2 linked regions of the Notamacropus eugenii genome follow. The protein of the gene in region 2 interacts with the protein of the main gene of each other region in a pairwise test. Links are inferred from orthologs where the notes say so. Each region holds a gene or a part of one and is shown on either strand. Other genes may lie near its edges.

The links.
Region 1: the proteins of RIN1 (region 2) and RRAS2 interact in binary tests that used the Homo sapiens proteins (3 or more experiments, as listed by UniProt). The link is inferred for Notamacropus eugenii from reciprocal best matches to the Homo sapiens genes RIN1 and RRAS2.

What each region holds. Positions count from the first base shown.
Region 1 is NC_092877.1:37,804,454-37,814,409, forward strand, and holds the start of RRAS2 (ras-related protein R-Ras2), read right to left. Parts: upstream 4,381-9,956; 5' UTR 4,088-4,380; coding exon 3,980-4,087; intron 1-3,979. UniProt on the Homo sapiens protein: GTP-binding protein with GTPase activity, involved in the regulation of MAPK signaling pathway and thereby controlling multiple cellular processes. Regulates craniofacial development.
Region 2 is NC_092873.1:18,936,749-18,947,410, forward strand, and holds the start of RIN1 (ras and Rab interactor 1), read right to left. Parts: upstream 4,793-10,662; 5' UTR 4,668-4,792; coding exon 3,927-4,667; intron 3,551-3,926; coding exon of another isoform or gene 3,370-3,550; intron 3,229-3,369; coding exon 3,114-3,228; intron 3,022-3,113; coding exon 2,949-3,021; intron 2,760-2,948; coding exon 2,668-2,759; intron 2,389-2,667; coding exon 1,645-2,388; intron 1,257-1,644; coding exon 951-1,256; intron 339-950; coding exon 207-338; intron 89-206; coding exon 1-88. Other genes in the region: BRMS1 (breast cancer metastasis-suppressor 1), read right to left, coding at 5,912-6,000, 6,396-6,435, 8,048-8,112, 9,169-9,261, 9,335-9,431, 9,511-9,590, 9,755-9,882, 10,146-10,236 and 1 more. UniProt on the Homo sapiens protein: Ras effector protein, which may serve as an inhibitory modulator of neuronal plasticity in aversive memory formation. Can affect Ras signaling at different levels. First, by competing with RAF1 protein for binding to activated Ras.

The sequences.
Region 1 (9,956 bases), on a different chromosome or scaffold from region 2:
GGCAGCACTCAAAGCTCTGTCTTCTCTTTTCCCCTCCATGCACTTTCATTTGGTGATTTCACCACTGCCATGAGTTTAATCATCATGCTTATACAGATTATTTCATCCAAGTGCATCTTTCTCCTGTCCCACATCAACTGCCCCTCCTACCCCTCAATGGATGTGCATAGTCATCTCAAATTCAACACATTCAATAGAAGAACTAATTATCTTTCCCCCACCCCTACCCCTTCCTCTTCCCAACTTTCATGTTACTATAGCAGGCATGGGAATGCTCTTTCTCACCTTCCTGAATATGTGTCATAAATGGGACTCGACCCAGGCCTGCCAGGTTCTCTAGACATTATGCTACATTTGGTGACTAAAAATTATTCTCTACACATTTTAACTAAATATGGCATCTTTTCCTCAACTAAATTGCAAATTTCCAAGGGAAGGATCATGTCTCAACCTCCTTTGCATCAATGAGCACCTAGCTCAATGTTCTCTACAAACTAGGCAGTCAATGCTCACAAAATGATGTTTATTAATAAGATTTCCAAAAAGGCACTTGTATTTTAAATGACAACACCCATTTATAGTGTTTTCACTCTTACAAAATGCTTTTCTGACAAGCACACTGTAAAGTGGCTAGTGCAAGTATGATCATCTCCACTTTATAACAAGAAAACACAAAGTAAATTTCCTTGCCTAAGATCACAGGGATATGAAGTGTCAAAAGTAAAGCTGGAAGTGAGATCTCCTAATTTCATGTCCAGTGTTGTGTCCACTACTCCGTGCCTTTCTTTCACAAGTTTCTCTTGTTATTCTTCACCCAAAGAATTTCTAATCATTACAGTCATTTAGGATTCAAACAGCTGGATGCCAAACAAAATTTTTAATCATTTGTGGTTTTAAGTAAGACAATTTATCAGCAGTGGAGCCATGAAAAGAATCCATAATTCCTACCTCCCACCTCCCCCTTTGTTCTAGGTATGAGACCATACTCCCTAGAGAAAAAAAAACGCTATAAAAAGTGCTTTGCTATCAGTTTCCTAATGTTACCCCTAAGCCCTTGGGAAATATCTACATGACAGCATCCCAGGTTTTATAGCCAAATCATACAGTTTACTCCACTCTTCATATCTTTTTAATAGCTCATGTGCACCCACAAAGGATAAGTCAATGGTGGGATAACATAAGCGGTCCTTTTCCTCATCTTACTGGTCCCAATAATTTTTAGCAGCCCAAGCCTTAATTACTGATATTACTAAACACTAACATTCCTAAAACAGAAGTCTGACCATGTCACCCCCAACTCAAACTGTATGAGGACTTCTAGAATAAAACACAAATTTTCAGTCTGGAAACTATTTTTCCAGTGTTATTTAATAATATTCTCCATCACACACTTTCCATTCCAATCACGTTGGCCTGCAAGCTGTTCCCCACACAGCATTCCACTGACCCCCTTCAAGCCCTGTTCCAAATGATTCCCAGTGTTTAGAATACACTGCCTCCATCTCCAGGTGGTAGAATACCTTGCTTCCCTTAAAGTCATTACTCAGGTGCCATCTCCTACACCAGAGATTTCAAGATCCCTGAGATGGTTAACGCTTGCTCCATCCAAAAATTATTTTGCATTACTTGGTAAACACATTTCTATTTACATTTCAGAATGTATGCTATCCTCCCCAAACTTTTTGATTGCCAGGACCAGGTTTTTTTTTTTTTAATCTTCTGTACCACAGCACCAGCCCAGGTACTTAACAAGTATCTGTTAAACTGAAGTAACCAGCTTGTAGGTTGTTTAGTTGCTCCCCACACTATTGCAAAGAGTATTATTACTCATAACATCAACATGACAGGTGATTATGTCAACTTCCACATGTTAGTGATATTTGTAGTTGTTAATACCCATTAAGTAGAAATGGAAGGACAGGCTATTTAAGTATCCTGTTTAGAACAATGGACTGGAAAAATATAAAACCCAATTCCTACCAAACATTTCAATTATACTTATTACCATACTTTTCAGGATATGCCAACAAACCAAACATGAATATGGGTAAGTGTCTGCATGAAATGGCCACCTAACTTATCTCTTAGGGTTCAAGAATTGACAGAAGTAGTATTTATAAAGTTTGTCAGTACTAGTACCTGATTTTTTTTAATTGAAAAAATCCTGAATTTAAAAGATCAGATTCTTGTTGCTAGCTGCAAATTCTAAGAAATTAATTTTTTTCATCCTAAAAATTGTTCTCCACATCTGTAATGAATTTCTTCCAAAGCTCCACTTGTAGACAACCTTTCCTCTTTTCCAGCCTAGTTCAGGTAGCCTCCTCCACGAAGCTTTCCCTTTAAGTTAGGACTTAAAAACTATCTGCTGAACTATATTTAAACAAAGTATTTCACCTCTGATCTTCCTCACCCAGATGCAAGAACACTGCCCAAGGGTGGCTGACCCACAAAAAAGAGTCTTGCACAAAGGAGGACCGTAATAAATGTACTTGAATTGACAAGAAAATATTTTAGGATGAGAAGGTAGAGTTGATGCACAAGTCAGATAAGTCTAAAACAAAGGAAGGGTGTTCAAATAGAAAGAGCGCTGGATCTGGAGTCAGAATTGTATCAGTCCCTGCTTTACCACGTATAATGAGGGATTATTTTGTTCATTCAACTAAGCCTTAGCTTCCAAATGATTGCTAAGGTCCTTCAAACTTTCCAAAATTTCCCAAGGCAATGTGGTATGGTGTACAGAACACTAGCTAGCAGTCGGCTCCGGCCTGGGTGTCAGCTCAGCCCCCCCCACACTCACTAGCTGAATGAGGCCGGGGGAGTCACCTAACCCTCGCAGGGTCGGAGATACTAGTAACAGTAACAGTTTGTGAAGACAGTCTGCACGCTGTTACCAGGCTCGGTGTATCCCAATCAAAGCTGCACCGGGCAGGACGGCGGGGAAGGAAAGGGTTTCTCCAGCTCCACTTCCATTTCTCCACAGGCACCATTTTTCCCTATCTTTACAATCCCACCCGAACGAGGGATGGTTTTAACACGCGCATAAAGTGCACAAAACAATCTCATCTCTTTGTCTTACCACAAGTCAAACCCACGGAGAAGTCCTTTAAACCAGCAGGAGGCATTCCCAAGGTTGGACCCCTCCTAACACGACCTCCAACGGACGGAAAAGTGTTAAGAGGACCCTCCCTCCCACCCTGGGGGGTCCCCAAATCTTCAAACAGATGGGGGAGCGGAGAGCCGGGATCCCAAAGCTCTGAAACCAACAAGTCGGGGGGAGACACGGAAAGAAACCCCCCCGGCCGGCTCTGGCTCTGGAGATAAGGTGGACTAAAATCTCCGCCCTTCCCTTCCACATTCCAGAGGAGTCTGGCTCCCGGGGCCTGACGGGGCGTAAAGCAGGGCGAGAAAGCGGTACCACTGGGGGACTGCGTGGGGAGGCGGGCACCCACAACTTTCCGGGCCCCGGGCCCTCCCCCCACCTCCGGGGGCAGTCTCAGCCCCTCCCCCCAGGACAGCCCCCTCCCGCCCCCGGGCAGCCTCAGCCCCCTCCCCCCGCCCCCCGCCAGTCCCCCCGCCCCCAGGCAGTCCCCTCCCCCGGACGGCCCCCCTCCCCCTCGGACGGCCCCCCTCCCCCTCCCCCTCTCGGGGCAGCCTCCCCCACCCCGGCAGCCTCAGCCCCCTCCCCCCAGCAGTCCCCTCCCCCGGACGGCCCCCCTCCCCCTCTCGGGGCAGCCTCCCCCACCCCGGCAGCCTCAGCCCCCTCCCCTCACCAGTCCCCCCCCGCCCCCCAGCAGTCCCCTCCCCCGGACGGCCCCCCTCCCCCACCCCGGCAGCCTCAGCCCCCTCCCCCCTTCTCCCCTCCCCCCGGCAGTCCCCCCTCCCCCCGGCAGTCCCCTCCCCCGGACGGCCCCCCTCCCCCCCGGCAGTCCCCTCCCCCCGCACAGCCCCCTCCCCCGTCCCTGCGCGGCGCCGCGGTCACCTGGATGAACTGGATGGTGAGCGCCGACTTGCCGACGCCGCCTCCTCCCACCACCACGAGCCGGTACTTCTCCTGCCCGGAGCCGTCCCGCCAGCCCGCCGTGGCCATGGGGGCGTCCGGCCCGGCCCGGCCCAGCCGGGGCCGGCCCCTGCGGAGGCCCCGCTCCCTTCCCCACCCCTCCGGGGCCGAGCGCGGGCCGCGGCGGGCGAGAGGGCTGCGGGGCGGCCCGGGCTGGGCGGGGGGCGCCGCGGCCGGGTCTTCGGGGCAGGAGCCGGGGGCTCCCGAGGGGAGGGCGCGGGCGCGGAGCCGCCGGGGCGAGAGCGGCGGGGGGGCCCGGCCGAGGGCCGGGGTCCGGGTTCGCGCTCCTCAGCCTCCCTCCTCAGCGCCCGGGCAGCGAGCGTAGCCTCCCGAGCCGCGACAAATGGCGGGGCGGGGCGGGGCCCGTGCTCATCTGGGCCGGGATATTCATGAGGGGGCGGGGCGGGGGCGGGGCCTCCGGCCCGGGGGTGGGGGCGAGAGGGAGGCAGGGAGGGGGGAGGCTTCCTGCGGAGGCCCGAACGTGGTGGGGTGGTGGGCGACCCTGTGTGCGTGCGTGCGTGCGACCACACGTGTATCTGTGTGGGTGTGATTGTGTGACTGTGTGATTGTGTGACTGTGTGTATGAGACAGATTGTGTGACCACGTGTGTATCTGTGAGGGTGTGATTGTGTGCCTGTATGTTTGTGGATGTGACAGATTGTGTAACAGGGTGACCACGTGTGTATGTGTGTGAGTGAGATTGTGTGACTGTGTGAGACAGATTGTGTGACCATGTGTGTATCTGTGAGGGTGTGATTGTGTGACTGTGTGTATGAGACAGATTGTGTGACCATGTGTGTATCTGTGTGGGTGTGATTGTGTGACTGTGTGTGTGTGTGTGACAGATTATGCCATCAGGTGAGTGGGGGATTGTGTGCCCTAGAAGAAGCCTCCACTACATTGCCCCCTCATAGTTCTTGGGTGTTGGGGGTGTAAGCTCAGTTCTATGTGGACAGTCTCGGGCGGGCGGGTAAAGGTGAGGACTTCTAAACCTTAGAGTTCTCATGAGGCCCCCCAGGGAACAGCAGGGAATTGAGGTGTGAGACCGAGCTATCTCGTGTATTTCCGCCTCTTCCCATGGGAAAAGTGCTGGGAGAGAGCATCCCTGCCCTCGAAATTGGCCTGGATCTGAGCACACCTAGTGTTATCTAACAGGCACGGTATTCAGGTGCAAACTATGCGGCAGGAGAACTTAAGTAGGGTCAGGAAAGCCTGAAGGCACTCTTAGCACTGAGGGACCCTTACAGGACAGAAGGCTCCTCTCCCCTCTCTCCCCACTTCCACTTCTGCTTCTATTCTCTTACTGTAAGATCTTTGCCTCCTTGGGAGATTCCCCTCTCTCCTAAGGAAGAGTTCCCCCTGCACATGTAACCAAGACCCTGAATAAAGCCTAACCCTTGTTCGACTCTGGAAAGTCTCTTCTCTCATACGTTTATCCGGTTTGGCCAGCCTGCGATAGGTAAGGTAAGACTGGGATAGCCCTCAGGCCTCTAGGCCTGGCACTTGGGTACTTTTTGTCTTTGTCTTTTTTTCAGTAGACTATAAACTTCTTGAGGGCAGGAGCTATTTGAACAGATTTTATTATTGCCTTTGACTTTACATATAGAAAGTGCTTAATAAGTGCTTGTTAAATTGAAATCCTGTATCATAGGATCATCCATTTAGAATTGAAAGGAACCTTCAAGTCCCTAGAGTCCAAACCCCACATTCTATGTACAGATAGTGCTGACTCTCCCGGGGGAGCCCAGCCCCTACAAGGCATCTCCCACCCTTCCCTCCTCATACATAGATGAAAAAATGAAGGGCCAAGGAATTATCTGCCTCAACACTAACACGTGAGGCAGGTTCTGAAGCCAGGTCTTCCTGATCTCAAGTCCAGCACTCTTTCTACTACACCAGGTACCTCCAACAGGAGAATAGGCTTCCTTTGGAACAAATGAGTCTTCAGACACAGGCTGAATGACCCTGTCGGCTGTGTAGACGTCCTTTCTCAGGTGCAAGCTGAGCTAGTGGCCTCTGATGTCCCATCCAACTCTTGAGGTTCTGTGATTCTAATTCTGTCTCAAAGAATGGGCGTATCCTGTCTCTCCCCACTTGCCAAGATGAAGCTTGTTACCCACCTCCTGGTGGAGAGTGATGGGCTCAAAGTACAGAAGAAGAGATACATTCAAATGTGGAAATTTGCTTTATTTGACTAGACACGTTTGTTAAGAAGATTTTGTTTTTTCCTTTTTTCCAATGGGGGTAGAAGGAAGGAGGAGGAGCCTAGGCATAGAGAAAAAGACCAAAAAGGAAGAGGTTTTTGAAGCATTTTTAGGACAGTACATGGTAGAATAGAAGGAATGCCAGAAGGAATCATAAGCAAGCAAGACAGTTTTGAACGCTACATGCTGATTTTATTGCATTCTTAAAAGGAAAAATAAGTTCTGTATCACAGATTCATGATTTCATGTACAATCCTCTTCTTCTGGTGAACTTTATATATCTGGTGCCCTTTTTATTTGGTGTTTAAGTTCAAAATGAAAGAATAAAATTTAAAGAGTGTTCCCTGAGGCACTATCCTGCGGCTCTCTTCTTCTCTATACTTGTTCCCATGGTAATCTCATCTCTTGGACTGGGAGCTCAGTGAAGCCAAGTACCATCTTTTGCCTTTTTTTTGTATTCCCCAACACTTGCTTAATAAATGTCTGCTGCATGTTTCTCGAATGAATAAATGATGTAATACCCTCTGTGTGAAGGGTATAGATATGTGACATTGTATATTAGTAGTAAGTATGTTTGATCAGAAGTGTAGCTATTTTTGTGAAACTGACCTTGTATGCAATGATTGTAGGTGTGTAACAGGGATTGTGAATATGGAGGGTGGAGGTGGGACAGTGACTGTGTTCTAGGGGTATAGGAAAAGGAAGGTAGTTGTATATGGGACACTATGACTGGGTGTCCCAGAAATAGCATTGTGTGTGTGTGTGTGTGTGTGTGTGTGTGTATAAGACAAAGAATACGGGCTGAGGAAGAGGAGAGAGACAGAGAGAGAAAGGATAAAGAACTGCATATTGTGGGGAGTGGTAGAGAAAGGGCTGCCAGGCTTTGGATCCAGTGCCCCTCTGTGACTGCCTATCCCTGAAGAATAGCCCTTCAGAGACATAATGAGAGTTATTCAGTCTCCCTTCTGTCCAGCTCCTCCTCTCCTAAACAATCCGAGCTCCTTATGCCTGCGTCTGCAGGCCCAGAGAACAGGACAGGCTAACAAAGCCTACACCATAGAGGCACTTCTATTTTAGGAGTCACATATTCTGGCTGCCTCCTCAAAAAGAAAATAAAAGAAATCGTCATTGGCCTTCAGCAGTTGGGATTCCCTCATCCTTCTTGACCCACGATTTTCTACGACTTTGGATTCTGTCTCACAGCTCTGCTTCCCTGTTTCCTTTGCTACTGCTTTCTCCTTCTCAAGTGGGTGTCCCTCCAAAGATGTGTTCCAAACTCTCCTCTCTTCTTGATCCCATTCACTAGCGGGATGCTAACTATTTAGATAGAATGGTATCATGGAAGGAGCCCGAGGATTTGGGAGTCAGGGGACCCAACTTCCAATCCCATCTTTAACATCTGCTACCTGTGTCCCAAGTAAGAAGCATCATCTAGTGGGGCCTCAGTTTCAACTCAGAGGGTTGAACTAAATCATTTCCAGCTGGGAATTTCATCCCACAGATTCCCCTTGGCCTCTTGAGTCTCTCTCAGCTCCCACAGCCAGTCTACTGCCAGGCTCCTGGGGCAGCTAGGTGGTGCAGTGGATAGAGCACTGGTGCAGGAGTCAGGAGGACCTGAGTTCAAATCTCATCTCAGACACTCACTAGCTGTGTGACCTTGGGCAAGTCACTTAACCCCAATTGCCTCATCCTGGGTCATCTCCAGTCATCCTGATGAATGTCTGGTCACTGGATTCAGATGGCTCTGGAGGAGAAGTGAGACTGGTGACCTGCACAGCCCTCCCTCACTCAAAACAAAGTCAAGTGCAAGTCATGTCATCATTTCTCTGATGGCATGGCCTTCTTTGGCAACGAAGGAAGAACACACACACACTGCCAGGTTCCACTCTATGGCCATCTGCACTCCCACAGTAACCCTTATTCAAGCCCCAAAATATTGTCTTAGCCTCAAAACTGATCTTCCTGTCTTCAGTCTATCATCACTCAGAAATCATTTTTAAAAAACCATAATTAGAGGGGCCTGCAGAGGTTCAAGCCAGAAACTGTATAGTACAAGCTCTACCTGAGCGAAGATCTATTCTATAATACACCTGAAAAGTGTTTATCCTTCGTTAGCTGGAAGACCCCTAATGATGGGGAACCCGCTGACTCCTGAGGAAATATGTTCCACTTTTATATAGTTCTACAAGGGGTTTTTTCCTTATAGTGGGCCTTACCCTTCCTGCTCTCTGAAGCCAGGCTTCCTCCATAATGAACCCCTCTTCAGTATTTATTGTTGTTGAGTTGTTTCAGCTATGTCTGACTCTTCATGACTTCTTTTGGGGTTTTCTTGGCAGAGATACTGGAGTGGTTTGCCATTTCCTTCTCCAGCTCATTTTACAGATGAGGAAACTCAGGCAAGCTGGGTTAAGTGACTTGCCTAGGGTCACATAGCTAGTAAGTGTCTGAGATGGAATTTGAATTCAGGACGAGACTTTCTGACTCAGGCTCTGCTCTCTGTCCACTGCACCATCTAACTGCTGAATCCCTCTTTAATTCCATTCAATTCAATAAATATTTATTTAGCACTTACTGTTTGCAAAGCTCTGTGCTATGTGCAAGCGTTTAGTCTCTGTCCTCATAGCAGGGGAATTAGAGGCAAGTATCACCAAGTAAAAAAATAGAAAGTTCTGGTTCCAGGGGTGGATTATGAGCTACTATAAGAAGGAAGCTTGGGATTCTATCAAGTGTAGAAAAGAAGGCAGTACGTTTCAGAAATGTGGCACCATTTGAACAAAGGCATGGAGGTGGGTGATGAAATACTGTATTTGAGGAATTAGAAAACGATAGTGAGAGTGAGGTAAGTGGAATAATTTCATATAATGCTGAATAGGTAGGGGAAAATCAAATTATGAAGGGCTTTAAAAGCTAGGTTGAGGATGTTGTATTTTAACCTAGAGGCAATCGGGAGCCATTGAAGGTTTTGGAATACAAGATGATATGATCAGATCTATGTTGTAGGAATATCCGTTTGGCAGCTGTGTGAACAATGAATTGAAGAGGATAGAGGCTAGAGCTGGGAAAACAATTGGAATGCTGTTTTGTTAGATGAAATGATAAGGCCATGAAATAGAGGCTGAGTTGTATCCCAGTTAGGAAAGGGGCTGGAGGCAAGAAATATGGTGGCTGGAAACAGACTAGATTAAGACCCAGCAGATTATTGGATAAGGGGTTTGAGGGAGAGGGAAAAGTCAAGGTTGACTCTAAGGCTGTAAACCTGAATGATTCGAGGCAGATCTCCCGCTCCCTCTAAGGTCTCTCTTCTTTCACTACTTTCAGGCAGTCCTCATATGACTTGAATTTGAGGCCCTTCACAATTCTGGTTGCCCTCCTCTGACACTCACTGTCCAATGATGGTGATGATGATGATGACAACAATTAGCATTTATATAACACCTACTGTGTGCCAGGTACTGTACTAAGTGCTTTACAAATATAATCACATTTGATCTTCACAACAGCCCTGTGAGGTAGGTGTTACTATTATCCTCATTTTGTGATTGAGAAAATTGAGGCAAATGGGGTCACCCAACTATTTCTTGTTGGAGATTGGATTTGAACTCAGGTCTTCCTGATTCCAGATCCAAGGCTCCATCTACTACATCACTTTGCTGAAGGCCCCTTCTCCCATTAGTGAATCCTTCCTGGAACATCCA
Region 2 (10,662 bases):
TGGGATGGACTGATGGGCTGTGAGCCAGCCTGGCTCAAACTCCCCAGCAGGGTCAGGCTGGCTGCCAGGCTGGTGAGGCAATAGCCCCCTGAGGACAGGAAGGTCTCAGGTGAGGGTATGGGACAGAAGCTAGTCGAGGCAGGTGGCCGCATTGGGGGAGTAGGACAGGGAGGAGGGAGAGGAGGAATGAGGAGGGGGGTGCTTACCCTCCCCTGTGAGCAGACTGGGCTCAAGCAGTTCTGTTATGTACTCAGTCTCGGGCAGCAGGTCTGGGAGGTCACACTGGGCCAGGACAGCACTGAGCAGAGGCAGGAATTCATCGGCCCCGGCATTCTCCCCTGCCGAGGGAGAAACCCTTAGCCTCCCCTTCTGTCTTTTCCACAGACTACAGCTGGGGAACAAACCCTGCAGGGGCCGGGTGGTTCCTGGGTCAGCCTCACCCCAGCTTCTGGCTCAGGCATACCTGGGGATGTGTTTCTTTTGTGTCCCCTAGTCCCCAGTGGCTATTGGTCTTTCTCTGTTCATCTCCCTGTTCCACAAGGAAGGGGGGTTCCAGCCCAGCCCGGACCCCTCCACTGTTTGGATTTTAAGGTCTTGGGAGGATGAGAGGGATGGGATCTCTGGACAACTGAGCCTTCAGCCCAAAGCTGCACTGGGGGCCTCCTTGGAAGCCAGAAATGCTAGGGGCAGGTAGGGGAGGAGAGGCCATTGACTTCAGGCCAGGAAACCAAAGGAAGACAGCTCTCCTTCCCCCCAGGGCCACTGTGGTCCCTTTTAGGATGGTTTGGGGGAAACTGAGACCCAGAGACTTTGAAGTGGGCAAGCGGATGCTCCAGTTCTCAGTTTGAAGGTCCCTCCTGGCTCTGACATGGTCTGTCATGCATTCTAAGCTCCCTCCCATATAAGATGCCACATGCCCTGTCCTCCATACTGCCCCTTCAGGCAGGTACCTGCCCAGCTGCTCAGGGCCTTGTAGAGTAGCTTGCAGGCCTGCAGGAGACGAGTGACCTTGGCCGTGGGAGAGTAGCCCTGGAGGAGTTTCAGCAGCTTCTGCCGGATACGCTCCATCTCAGATGGGGAGGGGAGACTGAGGCAGCTTCCCAAGGCTCTGGGCCCCTGAGCCCTGGCCAGCTGGAGGCCCTCTACCAGCCGGCCCAAGGATCCATCTTGAGCCAAGCGGAGCCTCAGGCGGGCCAGAAGGAGAGGCCGGAGGGGCTTCAGCACTGAGCGCTGCAGAGATTTCTCTATCACCAGCTCTGGAAAGGGGCAAGAGGAAAGATCCCGGAGGGTAAGGCAGGGAGGGGGCAAGGAGGGAGGGGATGGGCCAGGGAGGGAAGGGGGATTGTAGAGTCACAGAGCTAGCACTCCTAGAGCCTGGAGAGGCTCCTGATCCAACGCTTTAGGGGGAAACTGAGGCTCAGCTAGGATTTAAATCCAGAGCTTCCTACAGCCAAGGTCCTACGCACTGTCCCATGTTGCCCCTCTATGTGCTGGAGGCAGGGGAGTGTGATAAGAGCATTTAGGATGAAATGAGTAGGAAAGTGGGGAGCTAGCATGGGGGAGGGGCAGAACTGAGGAAATAGGGGAGAAATATGGGGATGAGGATGAGCCTGAGGTCTCAGAGCTGGAGGGGGTGCCACTCACCCAGTCTCTCCTCAGCTAATAGCTTTTCTTGGGCCAGTTCAGCCACCATCAGGGTCTGTGCTTGGCTCAGCACCTCCCGCACCTTCTGTAGCTCCTGGGGTTCAGGCCCTGCCCGCACCTTGGTCAGCAGGTCCTGTACGAGTTGCCCAGTGACTGTCTGTCTGTCCCGGGCCAGCTCCACCACAGCTCGGGCCACTTGTCTCTCGGGGGCCAGGAGGGAACAGAAAGCATCACTCATGGACCGAAGCAGCCGGCGCCTCCGCCCTGGGAGAGGGGATGAGCCCGGCCTCCCAGGAGGGCCACCTTCGTCCTCCGAGCTGCTGGGGGAGCCACTGTCCACCTCCTGGAGGGAGGGTAGAGGAGCTGGGCTTGGGCCAGTACTCCCTGGGACCCGGTAGCCCCCTGAGCTTTCCCTTCTCAGCAGCCTGCGAGGGGGTTCAGTTTGAGTCTGGGCAGGAGGACCCCCCGAGGGCAGCGGCACGGGGGGCGGTGGGACAGCAGGGGGGGACAGTGGGCTGGAGGTTTCAGTGGACACCCGAATCTTGAAGCTCCTTTTGAATTTCTCCCGTTTGGCTGGGCCCAAATCCCCAGGAAACAAGGGATTGAAGAAGCAGAGGGCTCCTCCGGTCCCCTGGTCCAGCTCCTCTGGGGACCGAGGTTTCAGGCGGGGAATCGGTGGGGCCTTGGTGGGAGGGACTGCTAGGCCTCCCTGGGCCTTGCTGTTCAGAGAAGAGTTCCAGAACTCTGGGGAAAAGAGAATTCAGAGACCCTGAGCCTCAGTTTCCCCATTTGTAACACAAGGGGCTGGGACTGGCCAGCCCACAGATGGGCTCGGTGATCCCAGTGGCCCCATGGCTCTCCATCTCCCTCCCATCTTTTACATGAGGGGCTTGGACCATCTCAGAGATGGCCCTTTAGGTCTCTTCCAAGGGTAACTGCCCCCAGAAGGGAGCTGGGGGAGATTGAGTCCACTGGGACCCTCCTCTCTGGCTCTGTGGCTCAGAAGGGCAGAAGAGTACAGACCCATTCCCAGATGAGATATAGCTTCTAGCTCCTTGTGGGTGGTAGCCCTGCGGATGGCTCTGGGCAGCTGGAGTTGGAGAAACAGGATGTCTCTGGATGGCAGAGAGGAGACTGAGTCAGGATCTAGGGGAACCCAGGCTCTATTGCAAACAGAGTCCGAGTCGGGATTGGGGGGCTTCCTGGATGGGGAGAAGGGGAGGCGGATGCGGGGGAGTCGGGTCCAGGTTTGCATGTTGTGAGCTCCCCACTGAGTAGGGGGTAGGGGGCACCAGTCTGCTCACCGACTGTGACAGTAGGCGGAGATGAGCTGGATCAGGTCTGGGAACGAGAGTTCAGAGCCCTCCAGGGAGACGCCTGCAAGGAAGGGAAGGTGTCAGTTCTGGGAAGAGGCAGCCCTCTCCTCAGGCTGCCAGCCCCCCCATCCCCTCCCCCACCCCGGGCCTCACCCTCAGGGGTTTCCTGGATGTCGTGGCTGGAGACAAAGGATGGTCCAGAGGCCTTGGGGAGCCTGACACACAGGGCCTTACACTGTCTGGTGTTGGACTTCCGAACCAGGAACGTCTGGTGAGGGAGGGGGGAGGTTCAGAGGGCCAGGGGGCCTGGGCCTCTCCCTCACATACCCCCAGCCTCCTCTTGTCTCCCTCCTCCTCCATCCTTCCTAGCCTCCTGGAGGAAGGCCCATGGCCACCCACCGTCCCTCACCCCAGGGGGTTCCCTCTGTAGCACGTGGAGGGCAGCTGCAGCATTTGCACTAAGCTGTAACCACACGGGCTGGGTGAGAAGCAGCCGCTCTCGCAGGCTCACTGTGCGCCCGGGGCACTGGAGCTGGCCAGTCTGCTCTCCCCTGGCCTCTGGGACATCATAGATGGGGTCTCCAGCCAGGCTGCAAGAAAGAGACAGAGACATGGGTCTGAGAAACAGCTGCCTCTTTTTTGCTGCCAGACCTTCCCTGAGCCTTTGGAGCTGATTCTTCTGGGGTTGGGGAGGGGGGGCGCTCTCCTTCCCACTTGTGTTCCTTGCCTCAGTTTCCTTCCCTGTCCAGTCTCCTCTCCCCACCTCCTGTGTATTCTCCTCTTCCTTGTCCCCTGCATGTTAACCTTCCCCTCACCCCAGTCTCATGAGCGCACGCCCACACACACAAGCACACAGGAACACACACACAGTGGGGAGGGAGACACACACAGGGACACACGCACACACACAGGGACACACACGAGCTCCCAGCCTCCAACTTCCCCAACTTTTCTCCGGGGAGTTACCTGGAAGCAGAGCTGGCTTCCCCAGACAGCTCCATGGTTGGCACAGGGCTCTCCAGAGCCCCTTTTCCCTCCTCTCAAGACTAAGAATCCAGGGCCCGGAGCGAAGGCGCAGTCACATTTCCAGTGAGTAACACTTCCTGAGAGGAGCTCAGCCCTGGCACACCCCAACATGTTAACTCTTCTCTGCCCACAGCACCCCTTCTGGGCCCACGCAGTGCCAGCTGCCTCTGCTCCAGTTAGCACCAGCTGCTCACCATCCCAAGGCGCTCCAGGACCACAATGCCCGGAGCAGCTCGGTTCAACTCTCTCATCCCAGGCTCTCCCCGCCCCCAAACCTGCAGACAGGAGCGGGTTAAGTTGGGCATCTGCCTTGGGCCCACGCAGGGCTTGGTGACTCACCCATGGGGCATCCTTGGGTTCAGTCCCCTCCCTCCGAGAGTGCCCCCTCATGGTTGCATGCTGCCTCCCCCCAGCATCTCTCTTGTAGCTCTTAGGTTGCCATGGTGAGGAGGCTGCATTTCCCCCACATCGTTGCCATGGTAACCACCCCCTTTTTCTGGGGGTGGCACTGACAGCATTAAAGGGGGATGGGAAAAGCCCAGCTCTGAGGTCACCAGTGCACAGCCCAGCTAAGGCCTCTCTGCCTTCTCCCCTCCCACCCAGCTCCTTTTGGGTCCCATCCAGCTGGGCTGGGCCAGGTAGGTCTGGGACACTGGAAGCCACTCCTCCCAGGATGTACATTCCTGAGCTGCCCTGCCCTGCCTCCAGCTGGGGCCTCTCACAGGTCACTGGAGTTAGAGACGCCAGGGGCAAGTGGGCAAGAGCAGGCGCTTGCAGTGAGAGGAACTGGGTTTGGATTCCACCCTTTTTTGGGGTGGGGGGATTAGAACAAGTATTAAACACCTACCATGTGCCAGGTACTGTTCTGAGCATATTACAAATATCCCTTCCTATTTTACAATTGAAGAAACTGAGGCAGACCCAAGTTAGATGACTGACACCATCAGTGACCATTTGCGGGCATATCTGAGCACAGATCCTGACTGCCTGGAGGCTCAGAACTCTACCCACTGTGCGCCTTTCTGTGGCACTTGGTGTGAGCGTGGGCAATTGACTTCTTTCATCATCTGGAACAAGATGCCCTGGTAGGCTCCTAGGACCCGGTGCTTCCTAAAGTCCCTTCCCCTCTGATTTGTGAGGAATACTGAGGGGGAAGGAACAGGAGAGAGCAAGAACGAGCCCTCCTGTCAGGATTCCTGAGCCTGTCTGACCTCTGAGGTCAATCCGAGATCTGCTCCCAATCCAGTTTACAGATTTCTAATCCCTGGTTTGCCTGGGCTCCCGGCTTGTCAGGGTGCCTGCTGGCAGAGAGCTCAGACCATGCTAGCACTACCTTTCTCTGGCCCACAGGCACTGGGGTCTTGAAGGGCCTCTGTCCCCTGCTCCCAGCGGGGGGGGGGGGGGAATGCCCTTCCAGGAGAAGGTGGGTTTTCCCTACCCTGCCAAAGCGGGAGGCCTCATTAAGGTCTCCTGGCAGGAGGGGAGGAAATGCGGGACAGGTACACGAGAGGCAGGGCAGAGCTGTTTTAATTATTAAATTTTAATTATGATTCCATGATTCTAATTCCCAGGACCCTAGAAAACCTGGGCTCCTTCGTTCTCAATCCAAAAATATGTCATTTCAAGGAGCTTCTGAGGAACAGCAGAGATGCCAGCTGGCCCTGGGCCCCTACCCCTGGCAGCCTTGGGTCAACAGCATGGCTTCCAGAGCCCTAGGGGCTGGGCTAGCAAAGGCTGGCTGACACTGGGCCATTCTAAGAGTCTACTGGCTCTGAGTGAAAGTGACAGGAGACCCAAGAGGCCCCCATGTCTGAGGATGGGCATCCAGGACATTTGAGTCAGCCCCACATCTACAGCCCGGTGGCATCCCAGCTGTCAAGAGACCAGACGGTGGAGAAAAGGGTGGTAGAGTTCAGACCATGGAGTCATCTGGTGGCTGGAGGGCCTAGGAGCCGGTCCAGGAGCCCCAGGTGTCCGGTCAGGCCTTGGGTGCAGCTTGTCTGCCCTTCAGGGGCTAGAAGACATGAGATCACCTATGGGCAGTCCCACCTAGGTGGCAGGGCAGTAGCCCCAGGCCAAGAAGGTGGACCTTCTGAAGGAGAGGGAAGCATGTCTAGGTGGGACTGGAGAATGGGACTGGCAGGGCTGTGTGGATGCCCCAGGAAGGAGGGCCAGCAGCCTCAAACAGAGTCTTTTGGGCATCCTCGTTTGAGGATCAGAGCTGTTCAAGGTGGCACTGGAAAGGTTGGATTGCTTGGTGGTTAGCCAGGGTCACAGCCAGAGAGCCAACAAACCCCTCCCCCTCTTCCCCTGAGCAGTGGGAGCTAACATTCCCCACAGGACCACCCCCTTCCTCGACCCTGTGAAGAGGGTGATGGGCAGGCCTGAAGGGGTCACTTCTGCCCTTACCCTCAGGTTTCCTCTTCTGTGGGGACACAGCGACTTTAGCCTGGGGGAGAGAAGAAAAAGTACCCTACTGCCATGCTGCCTCCAAGTCCTTCCTGGCTCAGGGATTAGGGGATGTACCAAGAAGCAAACTTGAGAGATGAGATTTGAACCAGGGCCTTGGATTCCTACCCCAATGGCCTTCCAAGGGGCTTCTAGGCAGGACAGCAGATGGACAGCTGACCCCTCCCCTGCCCTCCCGTCAGGAGCTCCACATGGGGCACAGAGGTCACACCCTCAGCCTTGGGTTAGGGGGCCTCTGCCCCCCTGTACCCTCTTTCCTTCCCTATCTTGAGCTCTGCCCCCCTATACCCTCTTTCCTTCCCTATCTTGACCCTTTGATCACTTCCACTCCACACCCACTGCCTATGGCTGATCACACCTTTCCAAGCCCCAGCTCCCCTACTATCTGCAGCCTTCCCACCTATGGCACCAGTGAACATCACAAAATGGAGCTGACTGGGCCTGCTACAAGGGATGTCATCTCCAGTAGGCACCTCCCCCTAACCCTCCACTGGCTCTTCCCCACATCAGGGCAGCTTCCTCAGACCTGCCCATTCCTCTTCAAGACTTTGATGGCTCCTGCCCCAAGCTTAGACACTTCTGGAAAAATGGAGGCCGTTCAGGGAGAGCCCCACCTGCCCTGAAGACCCATCCTCAGTTCCCATGGATCCAAAGGTCATTTCCATTCAGCTGATTCTGGATTCACCCAGCCCTAAGCCAGCTGAGCTCCAACCTCATGTAGAGAGTACCACCATCCTCTCTCTCAGCCTAGACTCCCCCTGCATGCCACACACTCAACAGACCTCCATAGCCAGGGCCTGTGCCTTCTCAGCCTCCCAGAATACACACCCTTCTCTCCCCTGACACAGTCTGGACTACTGCAATGCCTGCTGGGAGGTCTGCCTGCCTCAGGTCTCTGCCCACTACAGTGATCTCCCTAAAGCATAAGTCTGACCGTATCACCCCCCCCTCCCATTAACTCCAGACTCCCTCCAAACACTAGCACGAGCAAATATAGAACATTCCAAGTCCCCACTCACCTTTCCTGCTTTCACTCTAGCCTCCTGGCTGTTCCCTCCAGCCCCACAGGGGTGCTCCCTCTCCATCTCTGCACAAGCCCACCTTCCTATGGGAAGTCTCTCTGGTCACCCTGAGCTCCAGGGTCTTCCTTCTCCAACCACCCTGTTTAGCCTTCACTAGACCAGGAGCTACTGGAGGGCAGGGATTCCAGGGCTTTGCATAGTGCCTGGCACTCATGTTGCACCAAATGCGTATTTGTGGATGATGACAGCTACCTAGTTAGCGGTGGCAAAGTCCTGACTCTGAGGCAGGCCCTCTTTCCTTGGTCGAACTCCAGCCACTCCATCCAGGCCTGCTTTCCAAAGGACACTTGGACTCTGCCCCTGGGAGTGGAGCAGGGTGCCTTACCTTCTGATCTAAGCCTCCCTTCTGCCTGCTGCCACTCCCTGCACCCTCCCCAGGGCAGTGATTGTGTCTGCCCTTAGCAGACTGTCCCAGGCGGCCTCTCCTAAAGGCCCCTGCTGGGAGGGCACCAGATAAGAGAAGTCAAAGCAGCCATCGCCTGCCCCTGGCTGCTCTCCTCATCTGCCTACCTTCTTAATGGCTGTCCAGTCCTCCAGAATGTCCACATCCTCCAGCATGTAGACGATATAAGGACCTGGAGAGGGCGTGGGTCAAGGAAACTAGAAGCTAGGCCTGGCCACCCACATTGGCATTGCCCCCACCTCTGCCATCCTCCAGGTCACTTGAATAATCATCATTGTATAGAGAGACCCACCCCCAAGCCAATCAGGGCCAGGCCTCAGGGACCTCAGAAGTCATCCTTCTCAGGCTACATTCCTTATTCAATCACCTCTGGACTCTAAGCTGGACTCCTGAAGCCTCCCCCTGGGTCTCAGGCCTCCACAGGACTCCAGGGTGGGTCCTCCCATGGCCCAGGCCATTCCCAGCTTAGGTGGTTCCCAACTGCCTTGGACTGAGTACAACTTCCCTATCTGCTTGGCATTTAAAGGGACCCTTCCAGTGGGACAGCCTCCACTTTGGGAGCCTGTGTCTCCAGCCTCCATGCCCAGCCTCCTCTCACCCCACTACAGAAATCCTGGCTCCTTCCCGGGCCCAGGGGTCCCATCCCTATCTGACTCCAACATTCTTGTGGGGCTTTTCTCTGGACCTAAAGCTCCCAGGGGCAAGGACAGTTTGGGCCTGCAGTCCCGGGCACACAGCAGGTACCTAATGTGTGCCAGGTGAATCCCCTCTCCTTTCCAGTGCTCTGATGTCACCTGGCATAACCCCCACAACTGCCAGGGCTGTGATTCCAGTTCCCTCCCCTGATGTTGACACAGCCCAGAAGGACCACCTAAGGCCTGAAGCAGTGACTGACTTGCCCAGGGAAGGACAGCCAGGATGTGTCAGAGCCAGGACCTGAAAAGGGCCTCAGAATGGAAGCTCTAAGGGGCCCCACCTCATCTTCACAGGAAGGATGTGCAGGTGCCCCAGGTTGGAGCTGGGCTTCTGTCCTTTGGGCCCAGCCCTTCATAACCTGTGCAGAGCAGGAGGCCCAGAATGTTGAGCCTCTAAGATTCCTTCCAGGTGTGAGCCCTGCCCTCCCTGCAGAGTATGGCACAATCCCTTCCTTGCCTCTTGGGCTCTGGGCCCCTTGTATACTGGCTTGCCTCGAGGGGCCTCCACCAGGGCCCCTGTGATATAAGGATACCAGAGACGAGCGGGGCCTTCTTCCTCTTGCCTGACTGCAGGGTCTCCCAGGATCTTGAGCTGCCCTTCGGGTGCACCTTGTCATCCCACCATTCTGTGCCAGAGAGGGAGAGTCAGCAGGCTGCCCTCACCCCATACCCTACCAGGTTCCCCCTCCCCCACCTCACCAGAGCTGATGTCTAGGCTCTGGCGGTCCTCCTCGAGGCGCTGAATCCGCTCCTGGAGCTCCCCCTGGAGGGCATCATACAGCAGCAGCCGCTCACTCTGAAAAGGAAGCCAGCGGTCAGGCATGGGGGCACCTGTGCCCTTGCCTCTGGCTCTGCTGTACCCCCTTCCCACTCACCTCCAGGTGCTGCCGGGCTCCCTGAAGCTCACATTCATACTTGGTCCTGATCACATCCAGACAGAAGCCCTTGTAGATGCCTGGGGGGAAGAGAGAAAGAGCAGATCTTGACCGGTGGGTGGCACCTCCCAGGCAGATGGTACCTCAAGAAAGGTGGTGGTGGGGACAGGGCCTGAGAGAGAAGGAACAGCTCCCCTGGGAAGGGGAGAGACAGCTTCCAGGGGCCCAGGGTCAGGGCACTCACCTGCCACCTGAATTCGAATCTTGAGACTTCGCTGCAGTCCTCCAAGGGGCTGGGTGTACTCAGGTGCCCGTTCGGCCCCAACCTCTTCTAGCCGAAAACGTACCTGGCTCAGTCGCTCCTTGAACAGCCTGAGAAACAAGAGTCAAAGAATGCCACCCACCTCTACCATCTCATTGGACAGAGAGAGAAACTGAGGCCCAAGGTCACCTAGAAAGTTAGTGGCAGAGTCAGGATTCAGCCCCATGTCTTCCAAGCCCTCTTATCATGCCATGGCAAGGTTGCACCAGCATGGTCCCCTGCCTCTGGGGGGGCGGGGTGTCAACTCAGCTTCAGGGGATCCAGGAATGCCAGGCTTTGAAAGGGGAGCAGGGAGGCAGCTCCCTGAACTCACTTCTCCTTGAGTTCTGAGAACTGCTTCTCCAGGTCCGACATCTCATCGAGGCACTCGACGCGGCGACGTTCACAGTCCTCATCATCCATTTCTGCAGGACACAGGGCCGGTCAGTCTGTCCCAGCAGGAGCAGTGCGGGGTGGGGTGGAGGTGAGGACAGGGGTCCCAAAGGCTCACCTGAGCTCTCGCCATCCGACTCTGTCTGGCTGGCACTCTGCTCGTCCTCACTGCCTTCCTCCTCCTCTTCCAGCCCGTTCATCTCTGGGGCAGAGTCCCCATCCCTGTCCCCATCCCCCTCCAAGGTTTTGGCTTCTTTGCTCAGGGGCTGGCTCGGCATTGTCACTCTGAGAAGAGAGGGCATCTTTTGGGACCATACTTTGCCTGCCGTAAAACCCTACAGAACCGTGGGCTAAGACTAATTTAGCTCTGTAAAATAACAAGACTGGACGAGGTCACTCAGGTCTCTTCTAGTCCCAAGTTTCCACTCCTCCCAACTCTGAAGCCAGGAATGAACCTG